Linked DNA regions of Anolis sagrei. The main gene of each other region encodes a partner of the protein of the gene in region 2 in a complex. Links are inferred from orthologs where the notes say so. Each region holds a gene or a part of one and is shown on either strand. Other genes may lie near its edges.

What was found.
Region 1: EIF3I (region 2) and EIF3M share a complex: the UniProt entries of both Homo sapiens proteins name them as parts of the eukaryotic translation initiation factor 3 (eIF-3) complex. The link is inferred for Anolis sagrei from reciprocal best matches to the Homo sapiens genes EIF3I and EIF3M.
Region 3: EIF3I (region 2) and EIF3J share a complex: the UniProt entries of both Homo sapiens proteins name them as parts of the eukaryotic translation initiation factor 3 (eIF-3) complex. The link is inferred for Anolis sagrei from reciprocal best matches to the Homo sapiens genes EIF3I and EIF3J.

The regions. Positions count from the first base shown.
Region 1 is NC_090021.1:257,527,439-257,534,574, forward strand, and holds the start of EIF3M (eukaryotic translation initiation factor 3 subunit M), read right to left. Parts: upstream 3,009-7,136; 5' UTR 3,008-3,008; coding exon of another isoform or gene 2,932-3,007; coding exon 2,890-2,931; intron 900-2,889; coding exon 767-899; intron 1-766. UniProt on the Homo sapiens protein: Component of the eukaryotic translation initiation factor 3 (eIF-3) complex, which is required for several steps in the initiation of protein synthesis.
Region 2 is NC_090034.1:83,413,539-83,420,465, forward strand, and holds the start of EIF3I (eukaryotic translation initiation factor 3 subunit I), read right to left. Parts: upstream 3,007-6,927; 5' UTR 2,901-3,006; coding exon 2,898-2,900; intron 199-2,897; coding exon 106-198; intron 1-105. UniProt on the Homo sapiens protein: Component of the eukaryotic translation initiation factor 3 (eIF-3) complex, which is required for several steps in the initiation of protein synthesis.
Region 3 is NC_090029.1:23,331,759-23,339,401, reverse strand, and holds the start of EIF3J (eukaryotic translation initiation factor 3 subunit J), read right to left. Parts: upstream 3,009-7,643; 5' UTR 2,935-3,008; coding exon 2,910-2,934; intron 2,820-2,909; coding exon 2,695-2,819; intron 1-2,694. UniProt on the Homo sapiens protein: Component of the eukaryotic translation initiation factor 3 (eIF-3) complex, which is required for several steps in the initiation of protein synthesis.

The DNA.
Region 1 (7,136 bases), on a different chromosome or scaffold from region 2:
ACTGGTCAAAGCAACTCTTAGCCACTGATATTACTTGCATTTTGACCAACAGTGATGTGTCCACAGGAAGCTCAAGCTGCAGTTATTAGCTGAACAGTTCCATCCTGATCAGCTGGTTTCCTACATGTTTTATCTAATTTAAGTGGTACATTATTTGCTCTCATTTGCATCTAAATTGCCTCCAGAAATCTGCTGCAAATTCAGCGATGTTCCTGGCACTAGCAGGTAAAAAAAAGAGAGAGAGAAGTAGAACTGTGAACCGCTCCATATGCTGGTAACACTATGATGAACCTCCAGACATTTTTCCCCTATGATTTCATGTTTGACAATAGGAGGAACAAGAGCCATCTACAGGTCTGAGCAAAAATCCCTCAACAACACATTATGGGACTGATCCTCCAGGAAGGCCTAGCACTACCATTAACATACCTCGTAAGTCAGAATTAGCTAGATAGTCCAAAAGGATACTGTGGACAGCAGTAAAAAAAAGGTACAAGAGAGACAACAGAGGTAAATCTTTTCCTTTCACTCCCAGATGTAAATCATCTACCAGGCAAACCAGTACCATTTCCATTCCAAATGGATTTGGAGAGGATTCCAACTACATGGTAACTCTTGTGGTGGCGAATCTATGCCACCCACCCTCACTGACCATCCACCCCTGGTTTGGGCACTCAGTTTGGGCAGTTGGCCATCACTGTTATAACCCCATATCCTTATCAATCCAAGCACCTCATCAATAATTACCTAAAAATATGATACAAACCTTTATCGTCATCTCTCAAGCACACATCACATGCTTCTATGATCTGGGCTAAGTCAATATGAAGTCCACCTTCAGAATTCTCTTCAGAAATTTCTGCTCCCTTGGATTTCAGGTAAGCCCTAAGTTCTGCAGCCTTACAAAAATCAAGCAAACAAAAAAACACCCCTAAAAGTTATTTATGAATGTTGCAAGGAGTTTACATCTAACAACTTAGCAGTGATGGTCACAATGTGTTATTTATGACAGCATACATAATTTCAATATAATTGGAATTTAGACACTATTTTAATGCAAAGGAGCATGTAATCTAACCAAATATTTCTAAACCCCATTTGTGACAGTATTCTTATTAAGGTCCTCACCATGAACCTGACAACCCCAAAGGATATGTGTGCACACAGATCCTACAGAAAAGCCCTAATCAATCTGTTCATAATTATATGGCAAAGCTATAATTAAGACTTTGCTGATTCTTCTACTTTACAGTGCAAGGAACTGCTGATAACTACAAGTAGGGAGAAAGGTTTCCTGATGGGTCAGACTAATCTACAGTGCAGACTGAGCATCCCTTATTCAGGATCTAGAATTATTCAGAAGCCCCCAAATTGTCCATATGCCTTGCTATGATAGTGACACCTTTGTCATACTATAAGCATATGGCTGTGGTTCTCAACCTGTGGTTCCCCATGTTTTGGCCTTCAACTCCTAGAAATCCTAACAGCTGGTTAACTGCCTGGGATTTCTGGGAGCTGTAAGCCAAAACACCTGGAGACCCACAGGTTGAGAACCACTGGCATAAGGTGTATGTCAACATAAAGGAATCTCACGTTTTGACATCTTATTACCGTATATATATATGAAAATATTCCATGACCTAGAGAAAAAATGAAATGCAGACTAAGTAATAGTATGATAGCTGGGTCCAGAAGATCCAAGCGTTACAGAGATGCTGCATCGCTCCTTCGGGAGCGCTGTTTGCACAAGAGAGACTTAACTAATGTAAGCCAGGCCGGAGACAGATATAGAAGGAATGTAAGAGTTCTTTAATGGTGAAACCCTAACCCTAACCCAGAACCGTACCATAAGCCTAACCCTAACCCCTTACCCTTACCCAAACCCTTGCCCTAACCCTTACCCTAAGCATCCCCTCCTTTCTATCCTTCCTTCGCTCTTCCTGCTCTCACTCAGCTCCCTCTCTTCCCTTATTCACAGCCGCCTTTGTGGCATCTCCGTAACGCTCGGAGCTTCTGGACCCAGCTATCATACTATCACCGCAGACTACATCTGGCCCAGGCATTTTGGGCAAGGGACACTCAGCCTGTAACAGCCTTCTATTAAACTCTATTGCTTCTCCTTGGGACGCCCGTATATCACCCCAACAAGAACTTTTTCATAGATTACTGTCCATCTTCCGTACAGATCAGCTGTTCCCAAACTTTGTTCCTCCAGGTGTTTTGAGCTACATCTCCTGGAAGCTCCACACATTTTGCAACAGGTGGATCTACACTTTAGGATTAATGCAGCTTGACACTCCTTTAACTGCCATGGCCCAATGCTATAGAATCACAGGAGTTAAAAGTTTTATGGGGTCCTTAGCCTTTTCTGCCAAAGGGTGCTGGGGCCTCAACAAACTACAATACCCAGGACTCCACAGCAATGAGCCAGGGCAGGTCAAGGGATGTCCAATTGCATTACTTCAACATTGAGGACGCACACCTTGTCATGACTTCTGGGAGGCTAAGTCCAAACATCTGGAGGGCCAAAGGGTTGGGAAACTCTGTTGCAGGTGATGGCATTGCACTGGGATTGGGCCAAGAATGGGCCAACTTGGGCCCTCCAGGTGTTTTGACTTCAACCCCCACAATTCCTAGCAGCCTGTTCGGAATTGTGGGAGTTGAAGTTCAAAGCACCTGAAGGGCCGAAGTTAGCCCATACCTGGGTGAGGTGGGGCTGGGAAGGGAAGGGCCTATGCCAGCCGCCGCAGGGAAAGGGACTCGCGAGGGCCCCGCTGGGAGGGAAGGCAGGCAGGCAGGCAGGCGGGGCTGCTGAGGGGCCTGCCGCGGCCCATGGGCCTCCCCTGGAAGGTCAGCCTGAGCGGGAACACCACCGCCTCGCCTCCCCACCTGGTCTTCCTCCGTGATGTCGATAAAAGCTGGGACACTCATCTCGGCAGCGGCTTCGCTCCCTGCCCAGAGCACGCCGCCCGACCGGAAAGGAACGCGTTCCTTGCTGCTGCGTCATTTCCACGTCCGGGTCACAGGAATCGTATCTCCCTCCCGCTCCGGAGGTCTTAATGCGCACGCGCTCCCTCACGCGACGTTTCCCTCGTTCAGTGAGGAGGCTGTTTGGTCACGAGGTGCGTGGGTAGCCAATCAGGGCGCAGTATTTCCCAAACTCGTCCTCTGAGTGTTTTGGACTTCAACTCCCATGATCCCTAAATACTTGACCGACGCAGCTGAGGCTTCTGGGAGTAGAAGTCCAAAGCTGGAGTTTGGGTATTTAGGCTCCTATAGTCTACAATTCAACCTACAAAACATGGATGACAGATTCATGAAAGAACAAAACATTGGAAGATGAGCCTCTAATTTTAGAAGGAGAAGTGGAAACTGCAGCCAGAGCACTTGGGAGAAAGATATCGCCAAGAACAGATTGCATGCCAATAGAACTGTTTCTAACTAAAACCTGTAAATATGGAAAAACTAAACAATGGCCCATGGATTGGAAACATTCAATATACATTCTGTCTCCCAAGAAAGGAGATATTAGGGATTGCAGTAACCACAGGACTACAGGGAGCGGTCAACCCTCCTGTCTAAGCAGCTCCATTGGCTGCCGTTCATTTTCCGGTCCCAATTCAAGGTGCAGGTTATCACCTATAAAGCCCTAAATGGTTTGGGACCTGCCTACCTTCGTGACCGCATCTCCTTCCACAAACCTGCACGTTCCCTCCGATCCTTGGGGGGGGGGGGGGCTCCTTTCGCCTCTTCCTCCATCACAGGCACGACTTGTGGGAGCCAGGGAGAGAGCCTTCTCCGCTGTGGCCTCCAGGCTATGGAATTCACTACCTGGTGAGATTAGGCAAACTCCCACCCTACCAGCCTTTAAGAAAGATCTAAAGACCTGGCTTTTCTGATGTGCCTTTGGAGAGTGACCATATATTCCAGACCTGTTGTTTCACCTACACTGTTTCCCTCATATTGCACTTTCCCACACCTTATTGAAAGTCTAATTCTACTGTATGAGCTCTGCCCTCACAAATGTACCTTTTCATTGCTATCTCATCCAGTGTTTCATCATTTTATGCTGTGCATTTGGCCCGCTTTTCCAGTTGTTTCTCTTCAATCCTGCTGTCACCTGGGATTGCAACATCGACAATCCATACTTTGTTTTTTAACACGATTGTGAGGTCAGGAGAATCGTGCTCCAAAACTCTGTCTGAATTCAGAAGTCCCAGAGTAGCTTGATGTGTTCATTCTCTGTAACTTTTTCCGGCTTGTGATCCCACCAGTTCTTTGTCACAGGCAGATGGTATTTGTGGCACAAGTTCCAATGAATCATCTGCGCAATGGTGTTATGCCTCTCCTCGTAGTCTTGTCTGCGCGATCTTCTTGCAGCAGCTGAGGATGTGATCTATTGTTTCATCTGCTTCCTTGCAGAGTCTGCATTTGGGATCTGTCATTGACTTTTCAATTCTGGCTTTGATGGCATTGGTTCTAATAGCTTGTTATTTGGCTGCCAGAATCAGGCCCTCTGTCTCCTTTTTAGAGTTCCATTTGTGAGCCACAGCCATGTTTGTTTGTTTTTTGTCAATTTGGCTCTCAATTTTTCCCAGGAACTGTCCATGGAGAGCCTTCTTTCACCGGTTTTCTCTCCTGCTCTGTGTCATCATCATCATCATCATCATCATCATTATTGCATTCATTTACCATGTAACTAATGTGATGTATAAAGCTCTACAAAAATAAATGACAGGTATTATAGCAAAGGAAAGGAAGAGGCACTAAAGAATCACATTATAATCATCTGCATGATAATAGAACTAACACACACAAAATAGAACTAACACACAGGAAATCACTACAAATCTAGCAAAACCTTTGATTGATCATGAAACTATTAATCATTTTTAAAACAATGGAGATGTCATAACATTGGATTGTCTTAATGTGTAACCTGTACTTAGGACAACAGGACAGAATATGGTAAAATGAAATGGTTTCAGAGTGGCAAGTGCGTCAAGCAAGACTGAATTTTATTACCTTATCAGTTTAACATACATACTGAACTGATGATATGGAAAGTAGGATTAGACTTGGAGGAAGGAATGTGCAAAATTGGAGAAAGAAACTTCAGTAATTTAAGATATGCAGGTGAAAATAGTAAATATTTTGAAGTCAAGGGAAGAAAGGGGAGGTTTAATATTAAACTTTAAGAAAACAAAAATTGTTACAGTAAGTCGTAACAGGATCAAGTGTGTGTTAAAGAAAACATTATGATGTTAATTATTATGTGCAGCTAGTAATGTAGGTCAGCCAGCATGTTTGGGCCACACCTGGTGGAGTTTAACTGTATGGATTTTAGAATTCAGTTTGAAGAAGCAATATGCAACTCTGAGGAAGAGAAGCAATATGCTGTAATGCTGCTATGCTAAACAGCGATGCTCTTTGCTATGGTGGAATAGCTATTTACTCAAGGTTTATGGTTTGCTCTCTCATTTGAATGAAGATGAAGCCTTATTCTGTGTTACTTACAAGGACTATGTAGGTTTGTTGCACTGTTTGATTTTGTATGCAACACTGCAAGTTTATGCCTCTGCTGATAAGAGTACAGTTTTCCTTTTTCCGCTTGCTTGTGTGTCGTTTGCATGGGACTTGGCTAAAATCTGCTTCTGCGCAACAAAAATGACTGCCAATAATTTGCATATATTTAACATAGAAATAGTTCAAGATTTTACTTACCTTGCTTCAGTCATAAATTGAAATGGGGACTGAAGTCAAGAAATCAGAAGAAGACTGGGACTTAGAGTACTAAAGCCATTGTATTTCCTGTTTCTGATTCTGAAAGCTGGACAGTGAGGAAGCTAATAGGAAGAAAATCAACTAATTTGAAATGTGGCGCTGGAGAACCGTTCTGCAGATACTGTGGATGTCTAAAGACAAATTAATGGGTCCTAGAACAAATTAAGCCCGAACTCTCTCCCTAGAAGCCAAGATGGCTAAATTGAGACTGTTGTAATTTTGACATATCTTGAAAAGGCATTCCCAGGGGATTGCTTCTTGGCCTCCTTTAGAGAACTGGAACTCTCAAGGATCAAGACACTATAGATAACTCGAAATAGGCTTTATTGTTCACAATGAGTTATCCTTCAGGCATTAAACTTGATGTTTCAAAGGGGGTAAAGAAAATATACATTACAGTCTTTGTAGTCTTGGGTCTAAGGAGTTTTCCAGCTGAGAAGCTTTCCAAGTTCCCTCTTTCTCAATGGCTGTGAAAGTCGGAACATTCACAATCCCAGTCCAATGACCTATATTGAAGGCACAAAGTCTTCCTCTTGATGCCAAAGGACTGGTTTGAAGGCGCTTAAGATTCCTCAACGTCATCCAGGGTGAACTGGGCATGAAGCATGAATCTTAAGAGTACAAACTTAAGAATTGGTGATAAGAGATTACTTGACTAGGGCTTAGAGCCAAGCCTTTCTCGCGTCCATCTGTTGAGCTGTTGATGGTGGAATGAAAAAGAAAGCACGGCCCTCTTCCCCAGGAAGGGACGGAGCCAAACAATTGGGCTGGGGGGGGGGGGCAATTTAACCGGTGCAAAACAACATTGATTGACAGCTATAGATAACCAAACAATTCAACTGTACATTCACATACAAGTGGGGCCAGACGCGCCGTCACAGACAGTAATGCTTAGTAAGGTAGAAGGTAGTAGGAAAAGAAGATACACTGATGGATAGACTCAATCAAGGAAGCCATGATCTTGAGTCTGCAAGACCTAAACAGGGCTGTTTATAATAGGATGACTTGGAGGTATTTTGTTCATGGAGTTGCTATAAGTCAATGTTAACTTAAAGACAGTTAACAAGAACAAGGGCTGTGCATTAGGCAATATTTATGAGGAAGGAACTAACAAAACTATCTCTTGAGTACTCCTTACCTATGAAATTAATAGGTAAATTATACCCCCCATGAACAGTGGGTATAATTTATGACGGAACCCTTCCCACAACGCAGGGGAATTGTCTGCCAGTGTCTGTCATACTTTGTTAAGGAAAAGTCTGAAACAGTTCAGAAAGGAGGAGAGGGAAAGATCATCTTTTGGACTCAGGAACTGGGATGTAACTGGAGAAAATACCCCAAACTATGTAGGA
Region 2 (6,927 bases):
TTGTAGATCGACAGACAGATGCTGCAGTAGAACATTTGTGATTTTCAATTCCTTTATATATACACATAGAAGTGGGGTGTGTGTGGAAATATAGAAAATCATTACCGGATCTTTGGCGACCGTGAAGAGTAGATCTCCTTCCCTGTTATATTTGATCTGAGTAATAGACCGCTCATGGCCCTGCAAGAGGATAGGTTTCTGTGGGAAGAAAAGAACAATGTGCTTTAACACAGTCTGAACCATACTGCCTTGTAGAGATTTCATTCCTTTCTCTGTTTTTGCTCTCTGAATCTGCAAAGCTGTATCTATTTTTTGGAGAAGGTATAAATAGCAGTACATTTCTTATAAAACATAGCGCACCAAGAGATAACATGATAACATGTATCATATAAATTAAATATCCTATAACATACATGGATAGAAACACAAACACAGCTGTAGATTTATTCCTATTATTATTGTTATTCATACTCCTATCATTCCTAATATTAGTAGTATTCCTAATAATAGTAATAATAAACTTTATTTATACCATGCCACCATCTCCCATAGGGATTCGGGGCAACTCACAAAGCACACAATGGTGCCATACAACATAAAATACAATATATCAACATTAAAAACCAATAACACATTTAAAACTAGGCATATTAAGTTAACAAGAGCAACATAATCAATAAAATATGGCAATAATAATTAATTAAAAGATCCATACAATCAATTTAGACTTCCCTGGCTAAATATAGTAATCTGGTTAGTATCTTAAACATTATCAAAGGCCTGCAGAAAGAACCAAGTTTTTAGCTCTTTCCTATGATTATTATCATTATTATTATTCCTATTCTTATTATTAATCCTATTATTAGGAGTATTCCTATTATCATTATTATTCCATCCAGATAATGGAACAGTACCTTATTCCTATTCTTCCCATTATTATTTCAATTATTATTCCTATTGTTGTGAGGCCTATATTTAAAAAGCCACCCCTGATCCCTTCTATAATGGAGAGTTATCGGCCAGTGTGCACCCCTCCCCTTTCTGAGCAAGGACTTGGATCATGTGGTGGCCTCCCAACTTCAGGGATTTCTGGGTGAAATGGATTATCTAGATCAATTTCAATCTGGTTTCAGGCCTGGCAATGGAACAGATACAGCTTTGGTTGCCTTGGTGAATGACCTCCGCAGAGACCTAGATAGGGGGGAGTGTGTACTCTGTTAGTTCTCCTGGACCTTTCAGCAGCTTTCAATACCATCAACCATGGTATCCTTCTAGGTTGTCTCACAGGGATGGGATTGGGAGACACTGTCTTGCAGTGGCTCTGATCCTTCCTGAAAGGCCGTACCCAGAAGGTAGTGCTGGGGGACCCCTGGCTGTTGACCTGCGGGGTTCCTCAGGGTTCCATTTTAACCTACATGGTGTTTAACATATACATGAAACTGCTGGGAGATGTCATCCAGAGTTTTGGAGTATGATGCCACCTATACGCAGATGACATCCAACTCTACTACTCCTTTCCACCTAATGCCAAGGAAGCTGTTCTGACCCTAAACCAGCATCTATAATCAGCAATTATTTATTTATTTAAAACATTTATATTCCGCCCTTCTCACACCGCAGGGGGCTCAGGGCAGAGCACAACATATATATGGAAAACATTCAATGCCAGGACATAAAACCATAAATATATACAAACATTAAAATCACTTATATTCACATTAAAAGTTGCTTAAAAACCATCTCAGGACACCATTTTGCCTCATTGCACTGCCCCAAAGGCTTGGACCCACAGCCAGATCTTCACATTCTTCTGAAGGACAGGAGGGAGGAGGCTGATCTAATATTGTCATAACCGAGGGGCAATCACTGAGAAGGCCCTGTCTCTCATCCCTGCCAAACGCGCCTGTGATGGTGGCAGGGCCGAGAGCAGGGCCTCCCCAGAAGATCTTAGTTTCCGCAGTGGTTCGTAAAGGGAGATGCGTTCAGACAAATAAACTGGGCCTGGGATGTTTAGGGTTTTATAGGCCAAAGCCAGCACTTTGAATTGTGCCCGGTAGCAAACAGGCAGCCAGAGCAGCTGACGTAACATGGGAGTTGTGTGCTCCCTGTTAGCTGCCCTAGTTATTAACCTGGCTGCTTCTCTTTGGACTATTTGAAGCCTCTGAACCGTCTTCAAAGGCAACCCCACGTAGAGCATGTTGCAGTAGTCTATCCTGGATGTAATGAGAGCGTGGACCACCGTGGCCAAGTCTGGCTTCCAAAGGTACGGGCGCTGCTGGTGCACAAGTGTTAATTGTGCAAAAGCCCCCCTGGCCACCGCTGCTACCTGAGGATCCAGACTCAGCGATTAATCCAAAAGGACTCCTAAGCTGCGAACCTGTGCCTTCAAGGGGAGTGTAACCCCATCCAGCACAGGCTGCAACTGACCAGGATGACCTCGGATGAGGGCAAACAAATTGAAACTTCATCCAGACAAGACAGAGGTAGTCCTGATCAGTTGGAAGGCAGACCACGGAATAGGGATCCAGCCTGCGCTGGATGCCCCCCCCCCCCCCGAAAACACAGATTCAAAGTCTGGGGATCCTGCTGAAGCTATCGGCAGCGGCCAGGAGGGCCTTCGCACAATTAAAACTTGTGCACCAACTGCGCCCATTCCATGAGAAGCCAGATCTGGCAATGGTGATCCATGCCTTAGTTATATCCCATCTGGAATACTGTAACGCGCTCTAGGTATGGCTGCCTTTAAAGAGTGCTCAGAAACCTCAGCTGGTCCAAACACCTGCAGCAAGGTTGCTCACTGGGGCTGGCGATAGGGAACGGAGAGGCCCAGGCCCAGACCAGGCTGGATTGATCCACTAAACCGACTCATGGGCAGCTTCAGGGGAAGAGGGACTCACCATGGCTGCGGCAAAGGAAGGCCAGGCGGCGCAGAAGAGGCCAGATGAACCACTTCCGGCACGAGACCGGAAACGGAAAGCCGAAACCAGGTGTCCATAGAGATATAAAAAGAGAAGAGAGCCTCACACTTCCGGTTGACAAGAGCTGCGCCAAACCGGAAGTAGGACTTGTTTGCGTCAGTCTAGCCCTCTACTCTATGACCGGTCGCCATGGCGTCGCTGGGTGAGAAAGGAAGGGGGGGGACTTTAGTTTCATGCCCACGTGTATTAGAAACGGTGTGGGTCCATGGCCACCTTCGGCCTCTGTAGAAGCAGTGCGTCCCAGAGCTGGGAGGGATTCCCAGGGGTCACGCAGTCCAACTACTTTCTGGAGGCAGGAAAAGCACAACCAAAGCCCTCCCAACAGATGGCCATACAAACTCATAAGCAGGCTCATGGAGAAACAGGACTCAAAGAACCCTAGAATTGGAAGACAGGGACCCCAAAGGCCATGCAGTCCAACCTCCTTCTCCTATTATGCAGGAAGGCACCATCCAAGCCCTCCTGGCAGATGTCCATCCAGCCTCTGCTGAATATGAATAATATTATTAATAATAGAATCCTAGAGTTGAAAGGGACCCCAAACGCCATACAGTCCAACTCCCTTCTACAATTATGCAGGAAGGCACCACCCAAGCACTCCTGGCAGATGTCCATTCAGTCTATACTTAATATAATAATAATAATAATAATAATAATAATAATAGTAATAAGAGAATCCTAGAGTTGGAAGGGACCCCAAACGCCATACAGTCCAACTCCCTTCTACAATTATGCAGGAAGGCACCACCCAAGCACTCCTGGCAGATGTCCATTCAGTCTATACTTAATATAATAATAATAATAATAATAATAATAATAATAGTAATAAGAGAATCCTAGAGTTGGAAGGGACCCCAAACGCCATACAGTCCAACTCCCTTCTACAATTATGCAGGAAGGCACCATCCAAGCCCTCCTGGCAGATGTCAATTCAGCCTCTGCTTAATATATTAATAATAATAATAATAATAGAATCGTAGCATTGGAAGAGGTCCCAAAGGCCATCCAGTTCAACCTCCTTCTGCCATTATGCAGGAAGGCACCATCCAAGCCCTCCTGGCAGATGTCAATTCAGCCTCTGCTTAATATATTAATAATAATAATAATAATAATAATACGTTCAACCTAATAATAATAATACGTTCAACCTCCTTCTGCCATTATGCAGGAAGGAACCATCCAAGCCCTCCTGCAGATGTCAATTCAGCCTCTGCTTAATATATTAATAATAATAATAGAATCCTAGCATTGGAAGAGATCCCAAAGGCCATCCAGTCCAACCCCCTTCTACCATTATGTAGGAAGGCACCACCCAAGCCCTCCTGGCAGATGGTCATCCAGACTCTGCCTAATATATTATCAAAAATTGAGGCCCTAATGTCTGGATTGGGCTATCTGAAACCCTCACCTGTTTGGAATGCCAATATCCCTCCACAAAGCTTATCTTGTGTGGTGATTTTAATGCTAGAATTGGAGCGGGTGTGAAACAAGTGGAAGGCACTAACTTTGGACAAGATGGTCAGGTTACATCTGCTGACAGGGTTTCTCAAGACATAATCAGAAACAAGTCAAGTTTGGGTTGTTGTAGGTTTTCTCAGGCTATATGGCCATGTTCTAGAGGCCTTAGGAGAGAATGCCTCTAGAAAATGGCCATATAGCCCGAAAAAACCTACAACAAACCAGTGATTCCGGCCATGAAAGCCTTTGACAATACAAGTCAATTCTCTTAGAACTTCTCTCCTTGCATCCATTGCACTACCTCAATGGAACCCAGCATGACATAACGCAAGCTGCCTATACCTATGCCACCAACAGGGTACACAGGTATAGTACAATTGATTATACGGCAGTTTCTGCCAGCCTGCCTGAAAATCCCTTCAGGGTAAGAGGCACAGAGTATAATGTGGTAAATAAATAAATAAACACAAAAGAGAGTGGGACTATGAGTACCTTTAATCTAGACACTATATTATTTATGCAGCCTAGAATCACATTGGCCTTTTTCGCTGCTGCATCACAGTGTTGGCTCATGTTCAGCTTGTGGTCCACTCAGACTCCTAGACCCCGTTCCCATGGACTGCTTTCAAGCTAGGGGTCACCCATCCTATATCTATCCATTTTATGTTTATTGTCAAAGCGTCATATTATACATTTGTCCCTGTTGAAGTTCGTTTGGTTAGTTATTATGTTTATTTACACACTACTTTTTCCCTCCACAAGAAGCCTTACATTTTGAGTCCCCCACCCCCACTTTGAGTCCCCCCAGGGGTGAGAAAGGCTGTATATAAATACTGTAAATATTTATTTATTATTGATTTATTTACTTTATTTATATACCGCTTTTCTCAGCCCTCAGGCGACTCAAAGCAGTGAACAACATCTATACAAAACATCACGAGACAAGTATAGGGCAATTAAAAACAATTGTAACATAAATCATTAAACATCAGTAAATAAATAATAATAATAATTTTGATCCATCCTTTTAATCTCCCATGGTCACTTTGGATCCTGATCCTGCCTTCTAGAGTCTTAGCCATCCCTCCCAACAAGGTCCCATTTTCAAGTGTATAAACCTCCCTTCTATTCAGTTATCTAAGTCATCAATCGAGACTTTGAATAGTCCTGAATGGCCCAGGACTGGGCCCTCTTCTTGGCACTTCTCTCCAGGAGGAAGAGGGGTTTCTCGAATACTCTTTTGCAAAATCCTTCCAAATTACCATTACAATGATTATTAGAAGTTTCCTTTCTTGCAGGTGAACTAAGTGCCTGTCTCTTGGTGGCCCTTCTTTGGGGAGGGACCAACCCATTTTTGAAAAAGGGAACAGAAGGCCTGGAGCAAGTGAAGAAGGAGAGACGAAGCCTGCAGCTCCTGGCAGAAATGAAGTTCCTTTGCTTCAATTACAAGGTATTTGATAGTTCCCCCTATTAATATACTTACAAAAATAATAATAACTGTCTAATTCCCAGTAACTAAAGCACACAATTCTACTCTATCAAGTATACTAGGCTGACTGTTTTCCAGTGCTTGCACTTCTAAGACCTCTGGGGTTTTATGTTACATGGGATAATATTCTGTTTTGTTTGTTAATGCCTCACTATAGGCCATTTGCACACAAAGAAGTACAATATACAAGCACAACAATCCAAAAACATACCAAAGTACTTCATAAAACAATTGGAATACAGATCTCGCCTATTACAATTCAATACCATTAGAATACAATACCATTAAAATACAGTATCACACATCAAATGCATACAACGATATTAAAATTTAGATTAGATAAAATTCAATGCACTAAGAGCATCCTCATAGCGGTTCACTGCAATATCAGCAATGCATCTAGCCCAACATTTCATTGCTGCCAAGACAAAAAATGTGTGTTGTCATAGAATACATGGTTCTAGAGACAAGAAACAGAACAGTATGCATTTTAAACATTTTTTAATTATTGCAGTTGAAGATACTGGCTTGATTTGTCAAAAAATGACCCCTCCACTCCCTAAAATATGAATTTAAACATTATTTCTTGTGTGTGTGTGTACAGAATTAATATAACTTCCGCAGCTGCTGAGATTCAAAAGGTCCGATCTTGCTCAACAGCTAACCCCAAAACTGCCCAGAGCCCAGAAACCCCTAGAGGATTCATCTAATCAACTGCCAAGGCCAACAGCCCCATGGAGGTGGAAGAGAGATGTTCCTCAGACAATAGGATAGCCCCACACCCCTCTCCTGTAGAGTTTTGCCCTAACCAACACACTCTGAGGCTCCCTTTAGATCTGGATTCATGGAGATGATTTCTTGCTGAGAGATGGACGGGAATGAGGTGGTGGTGGTGGTGGGGAGACTCAGGTATTTATACTGTGAGGATTAGGATGCAATGGCAGAGAGCAGCCACAGAAATGTTCCCAATGCACCCAAAAACTATATGTTTTATTTGAGAAA
Region 3 (7,643 bases), on a different chromosome or scaffold from region 2:
ATAAAAATGACCACAAAACTTGGCATGATGCTAAATGACCTTTGACAAGAAGCTGGCCACTGGTGTCGCTGTGAGAGGGTGCATATGGTAGGACTCAGACTGCATTGTAGCAAGTGGTTGGGAGGCCCTGGTGATGTCAGCTCCAGCTTCCGCTTTTTTTTTTTTCATGAGAAGGAACATGGGTTTTTGTTTTTTTTTTGCCGTGTCAGGAGCAACTTGAGAAACTGCAAGTCGTTTCTGGTGTGAAAGAATTGGTTGTCTGCAAGGACGTTGCCCAGGGGACGCCAGGATGTTTTGATGTTTTACCATCCTTGTGGGAGGCTTCTCCCATGTCACGAGACAGGGCCTTCTCTGTGGCGGCCCCCCGATTTTGGAATGCCCTTCCAAAAGATCTTCGCCAGGCCCCTACTTTAGCAGCTTTCAGAAAGAACCTAAAAACTTGGCTGTTCCGATGTGCCTTCTCAGATTAGGAATCCCCACCCAAGTCCTAGAAGCACTTTAGCACAATTAACATTAATGCACACCGTACTATTTTATTCCCATGCTCCTCCTACCACTCTAGCACTTTTAACCCTGTACCCCATTGCGCTGGCCGGCCCAGTTTTAAAGTGTCATGATGTATTGTTATTGTCGTTATTGCTTGCTTAACTTATTGATTTGCTATGTTTTCTACTGTTGTGTTTGTTTTACTGTATTGTGTTTTGAGGCTTCGGCCTGTGTAAGCCGCATTGAGTCCTCCGGGAGATGCTAGCGGGGTACAAATAAAGTTAATAAATAAATAAATAATAAATAAATGTCCCCCCACGGGGAGCTGAAGCTGACAGAGTGAGCTCATCCACGTTGACTGAAAGGTAGGCAGTTCGAATATGGGGAGTGGGGTGAGCTCCCGTCTGTCGGCTCTAGCTTCCCATGCGGAGACATGAGAGATGCCTCCCACAAGGATGGTAAAACATCCGGCTGTCCCCTGGGCAATGTTCTTGCAGGCGGCCAAATTCTCTCTCACACACCAGAAGCGACTTACAGTTCCTCAAGTCGTTCCTGACATGAGAAATTTTTTTAACTGGACGAATTACCACCAAATTTGGCCACAAGACACCTACTAACCCAAGGAGTAACCATCACTCAAAAATTAATTTTGTCATTTGGGAGTAGTAGTTGCTGGGATTTACAGTTCACCTACAATCAAAAAGATTTCTGAATTCCACCAATAATGGAACTGAACTAAACTTGGCACACAGGACTCCCATGACCAACAGAAAACACTGGAAGGGATTGATGGGCATTGACCTTGAGTTTGGGAGTTGTAGTTCACCTACATCCAGAGACCACTGTGGACCCAAAAAATGATGGACCTGGACCAAACTTGGCATGAACACTCCATATGGCCAAATATGAACACAGATGGGGTTTCGGGGGAAATACACCTCGACATTTGGGAGTTGTAGTTACTGGGATTTATAGTTCACCTACAATCAAAGAGCATTCTGAACCCCACCAATGACAGAATTGGGGCAAACTTCCCACACAGAACCCCCATGACCAACAGAAAATACTTAGGGCCATTCAGTCCAACTCCCTTCACTAGGGCAAAACGTAATCAAAGTCCTCCTGACAAAGAGCCATCCAGCCATAGATTTAGATAGATAGATATGATTCACACAAACACAGATATAGTATCATAGGTTTGAAAGGGACCCCCAAAGAAGGACAATTATAAGTTGCATGTTCCAGAGTAGGCAAACCAGACAATCTACCTGCGTGACCGCATATCCATCTACGAACCCACACGTTCACTTCGGTCATCTGGAGAGGCCCTGCTCGTGATCCCACCGGCGTCGCAAGCGCGCTTGGTGGGGACGCGGGACAGGGCCTTTTCCGTGGTGGCCCCCTGACTCTGGAACACCCACCCCAAAGACCTTAGACAGGCCCCTTCATTGGCTGTCTTCAGAAAGAACTTGAAGACCTGGCTTTTCCGATGCGCCTTCCCAGATTAGGAAATCTCCAATACCAAGTCCCAAGAGCACTTTATCAGAACCAATGATTGCTGCACATCGCACATCGCACTTGCCCTGGAAGCCCTATATACACCTCCTGTCACATCAGCACTTTTAATCTTTGTACCCATTCTCTGGACCGGCCCAGTTTTATCGTGTTTTAGTGTATTGTGCCTGCTGATTTGGTGTTTTTTTTTTTTTTGCTTTATTCTGTTTTTAATTTGTTTTATTTGCTTAGATTGTATTGTTGTGTTGTGTGTTCTGTAAGCCGCATCGAATCCTTCGGGAGATGCTAGCGGGGTACAAATAAAGTTTAATAATAATAATTAAATAATAATAATCTCCATGTCAACACTGACAAAGAAACAGCAAGAAATATTGTTTACCCAGAAACATAAAGAAATTACATATATTAGAAACCAACACTTTCTCATTACTGTATTTTCCAGATCACCAGACTGGGCCACAGCAACGCCTGGCAAGGGGACGGCTAGTAATTTATATAATAAGTGGTTTGCTCTTTACTTCAGCGGCTGAGGAAGGGATAGGAATGGGCCTGAGGGTGTGAGGAAGTATGGGAGTTGGAGTCCAAAACAGCTGGAGGGAGGGCCCAAGTTGGCCCAGGTCTGCTACAGAGCCCTCCTTGTTCGTAACTTGGTGAAAAAAGGAGGGAAGAGAAGCAGAGCGAGGCCTTTCCCACCTTGACATCCTCGTCCTCGTCCTCCCCGGCCCACCGGTCTCCCGCCGCCGCCACGGAGGGCGTGGGCAGCCGGGCCTGGTGCCGCCCGTCCTCCTCCGCCTCCGCCGCCGTCGTCTCGAAGGAGTCTGCGCCGGAGAAGGGAGAGGGTGTCAGCAGGGGGCGAAAAAGAGGCCCTTCCTTCCCACCTCCAGGCCTGCCTTCCCGGCCACACTCACCCCAGGAATCCGCCACCGCCGCCATCTTGGTTCTGCCTCAGGCCCGTCAGGCACTCGCGGCCAAGGCCGGAAGAGGAAGAGCCAGACGCCCGCGCGGGGGATGCCGGGAGGAAAAGGAATACGCCGAGAGAGGGCGGGGCCTTAACAAACCACGCCCCTTCAAACAAAGCCACGCCCCCTCCAGCCTACCCAGAGCAACAACGAGATTGGGAGCTTTGAGATGGTTGAACAGAAGCTTTCCGAAGCTCTGGGTGCTCTTACTGCCTATTACAGGGAAAACCAACTGATCCCCAACCCATCCAAAACACAGACATCTGCCTTTCATCTCAAGAACAGACAAGCATCCTGAGCTCTGAGGATCACCTGGAAAGGAATCCCACTGGACCATTGCAGCGCACCCAGATACCTGGGAGTCACTCTGGACCGTGCGCTGACCTACAAGAAGCACTACCTGCACTTCAAGCAAAAAGTGGGCACTAGAAACAATATACGAAAGCTGACTGGCACAACCTAGGGATCACAACCAGACACAGTGAAGACATCTCTCCTTGCGCTATGCTACTCTGCTGCTGAGTATGCATGCCCAGTGTGGGACACATCTCACCACACTAAAACAGTGGATGTGGCTCTTAATGAGACATGCCGCATTATCACGGGGTGTCTGCGCCCCACACCACTGGAGAAATTACACTGCTTAGCCGGTATCACACTACCTGACATCCGCTGGGGAGTAGCAGCCAATAGTGAAAGGACCAAGGCAGAGACGTCTCCAGCTCATCCACTGTTTGGGTATCAACCAGCACGTCAATGACTTAAATCAAGAAATAGTTTTCTAAGATCTACAGAGACACTCGCTGGAACACCTCAGCAAGCCAGAGTCCAAAAGTGGCAGGCTCAAACCCAGAACCTCAACCAGTGGCTGATACCAAATGAGAGACTCCCTCCTGAGAACACAGAAGACTGGGCAACTTGGAAGGCACTGAACAGACTGCGCTCTGGCACCACAAGATGCAGAGCCAACCACAAGAAATGGGCCCACAAAGTGGAGTCCACGACATGCGAGTGTGGAGAAGAGCAAACCACTGACCACCTGCTGCAATACACCCTAAGCCCTGCCACATGTACAATGGAGGACCTTCTTGCGGCAACACCAGAAGCACTCCAAGTGGCCAGATACTGGTCAAAGGACATTTAATCAACTACCAAACTCGCAAATTTTGTATTTTGTCTGTTTGTTTGTTTTGTTCTGTTAGAAATGTAATACAATTGTCTGGTTGCCCCTGACACGATAAATAAAAAAAATAACATTGACAATGAAATGCAACACTGCCTGAGCTCTGCGAGTGCAGCATTTTTGCAAATGAAGCAGAGAGTGTTTGAGGACCGGGACATCCGTAGGGATACCAAGATGCTTGTTTATAAAGCTATTGTCCTCCCAACCCAGCTATATGCCTGCGAGACGTGGATTGTCTACAGGCGTCACATGCAGCTCCTGGAACGATTCCATCAGCGCTGCCTCCGGAAAATCCTGCAAATCTCTTGGGAAGACAAGTGGACAATGTCAGCGTGCTAGAAGAAGCAAAGGCCACTAGTATTGCCGAAGGCTTTCATGGCCGGAATCACTGGGTTGTTGTAGGTTTTTATTGGGCTATATGGACATGTTCTAGAAGCATTCTCTCCTGACGTTTCACCTGCATCTGTGGCAAGCATCCTTACTACCTTTGAGGATGCTTGCCATAGATGCAGGCAAAATATCAGGAGAGAAGGCCTCTAGAACATGGCCATATAGCTCAAAAAACCTACAACAACCCAAAGACCACCAGCATTGAAGCCATGGTCCTCCGCCATCCACTCTGCTGGACCCGTCAAGTTGTTTGGATGCCCGACCACCGTCTCCCAAAGCTGTTTCTCTTCTCCGAACTCAAGAATGTTGGTGGACAGGAAAAGAGATGTATAAATGGGCTCTAATCTAACCTTACAAACTCTGGCATAGACACTGAAAACCGGGAAGCCCTGGCCCTTGAGCGCTCCAGCTGGAGGTCAGCTGTGACCAGCAGTGCTGTAGAATTTGAAGAGGCATGAATGGAGGGCAAAAGAGAGAAATGTGCCAAGAGGAAGGCGCGTCAAGCAAACCCCAACTGGGATCGCCTTCCACCTGGAAACCAATGCCCTCGCTGTGGGAGACGATGCAGATCAAGAATAGGGCTCCATAGTCACCCTGGAGGATTATCCTGCTCGGATGACGAGGGATCGCCTAAGTAAGTAAGTAAGTAAGTTAGCCTCAGCAGTAGACTGAAAGCAAAAACCGAGGACACAGCAGTATCTGTTATAGAACTCCAATATGCCGATGATAATATGGTCTGTGCTCACTGAGAAGAAGACCATACAAGTTGGAAATGACAATCTTCTTCAGGCCTTCTCTAGTAAAGGGTTGCTGTGAGTTTTCCGGGCTGTCTGGCAATGTTCCAGAATCATTTTTTCCTGACGTTTCGTCTACATCTATATCAGGCATCTTCAAAGGTGGTGAAGTCTGTTGGAAACTAGACAAGTGAGGTTTATCTATCTGCATAATGTCCAGTGTGGGAGAAAGAACTATCAATGGCACTAATTATTATTGTTAATTTTTATTTAATATTATTTAGTATGATTATTTTATTACTATTTTGACTATTATTATAGTCAAAATAAAGAGCAAACCACAAACAGGCGGGCCCCAAGTTACAAAGTAAAGAGCAAACCACAAACCACTTATTATATATTTTTTTATTATTATTTACTTCACCTGTATACCGTTTTTCTCACCCCAAGAGGAGACTTAAACATATTTATGGAAAAATATTATTATTATTTAGTATGATTCACTATGTAACATGATTTGTATTCCTGGGTTATCAATGCCATTATTATTATTTATTTATTTGGTATTGTTATTATTATTTAATATGATTTACTATGTAACATAAACACATTTTTTCCCTGGGTTGTCAAAGTCATTACAAAGTCACTGTGGGAGAAGATGCGGGTCAAAAACAGGGCTCCAAAGCCACCTACAAATCCACAAGGAAACCCATAATGGAAAACCATCTTACTCGTCCAATGAGGGATCGCCTAAGTAAGTAAGTAAGCAAAGTCATTAATAATTATTACTAATTATTTATTTAGTATTTATTATTATTTAATATGATTAATTTATTATGATTATTATTGTGGCTATTATTATTTTGTATGATTCAATATGTAACACAATTTTTGTTCCTGAGTTATCAATATCATTAATTAATATTATTAATTATTTAGTATTTATTATTTTTATGATTATTATTAATTAGTGTGATTATTTTATTATTGTGACTATTGTTATTATTTGGCATGATTCACTAGGTGCAACACGATTTTTGTTCCTGGGTTATCAATGTTATTGATTTATTATTATTATATTTTTATTTTTATTTTACTGACACAAAGCCACAGTATGTCACAGTAAACAAGATCTATATGCTGGATTTTGTATCAAAAAATCACAAGTCGAACACTTTCCAAGCGTCTAGGACTGTGTGATGTATTTCCGAATTAGGCGCGCAGATCCAAGTAAGGTGGTGTTTTGCAGTTGACAGATGATTTTGTCAATGTTTATTGTTTCCAAAAGCTGGCTGAGATCTTTTTGCACGGCACCCAGTGTGCCGATCACCACTGGGACCCCCTGGACTGGTTTATGCCAGAGCTTTTGCAATATTTATTATTATTATTATTATTATTAAATATTATTAATATTTGATATGATTCACTATGTAACACAAACATGGTTTTTATTCCTGGGTTATCAATGTATTAATTTATTATTGCTATTTATTATTATTTAGTATGATTATGATTTACTATGAATATTATTATTTAGTATGGTTCACTGTGTAACGTGATTTTTGTTCCTGGATTATGTCATCTCCTAATTGGTTCTATCATTAAAAGCATGAGAAAAGTTTATTAAACTGTGAAAAATTTGTTTTTGTGGGAAGGCACCCTGCAGCAGCACATTTGGGTCTAATTTCCCCATAAATATCTCAACCAATTCAGCCTAGTTTGTGGCAGCCACAAAAACAAAGTTCTGGTGTAGAACAACTACTTTCAAAGTAAAGACTGCACAATTAATCAGGGAGTAATGCATTCAAACCAGAAACAAAAAAAAAATATTAAAATTTTGTCACATAGTGTTATTAGTGGGCTTAGCATACACTTAGCAAACATGCCAGCCTATGACTGAAACAACCAACAGTGCATGCTTTGCAATCACAAGATAGGAGCATTGAGCAGATGGAAAGTGAAGGCAGAGATCAATGCCTGGCCTGTACTTTTGGATCCTCAAGATTGCCAGCACGATTTATATTTGAATAGAAAGTGGCAACCTACTCTGCTTTAGTAATTGTGGGTCTGCAAATCATTCTGCTGCTGGCCTTCCAAAAGAAATGCTCAAGGGAACTCCCATCCCGGGTTTTCCTCTCCTCTTGCAAACCCCATCAGAAGAACCTCACGGGAATCAATAATTTCAATGAGTGTGAATTAACCAATAGAAATTCCCTCTCCTCCAGCAACAGCCAAGCGCCGTTGGGTCTCAACCCTCAGGTAGATGAGGGTTCAGATTTGAGTCCCCCTCGAAACCGCTTTGAGTCCCCCTCGAGGTGAGAAAAGTGGTATAGAAATGCTGTAAATGAATCTATCTTTGGATAGAACCCTGTTGTG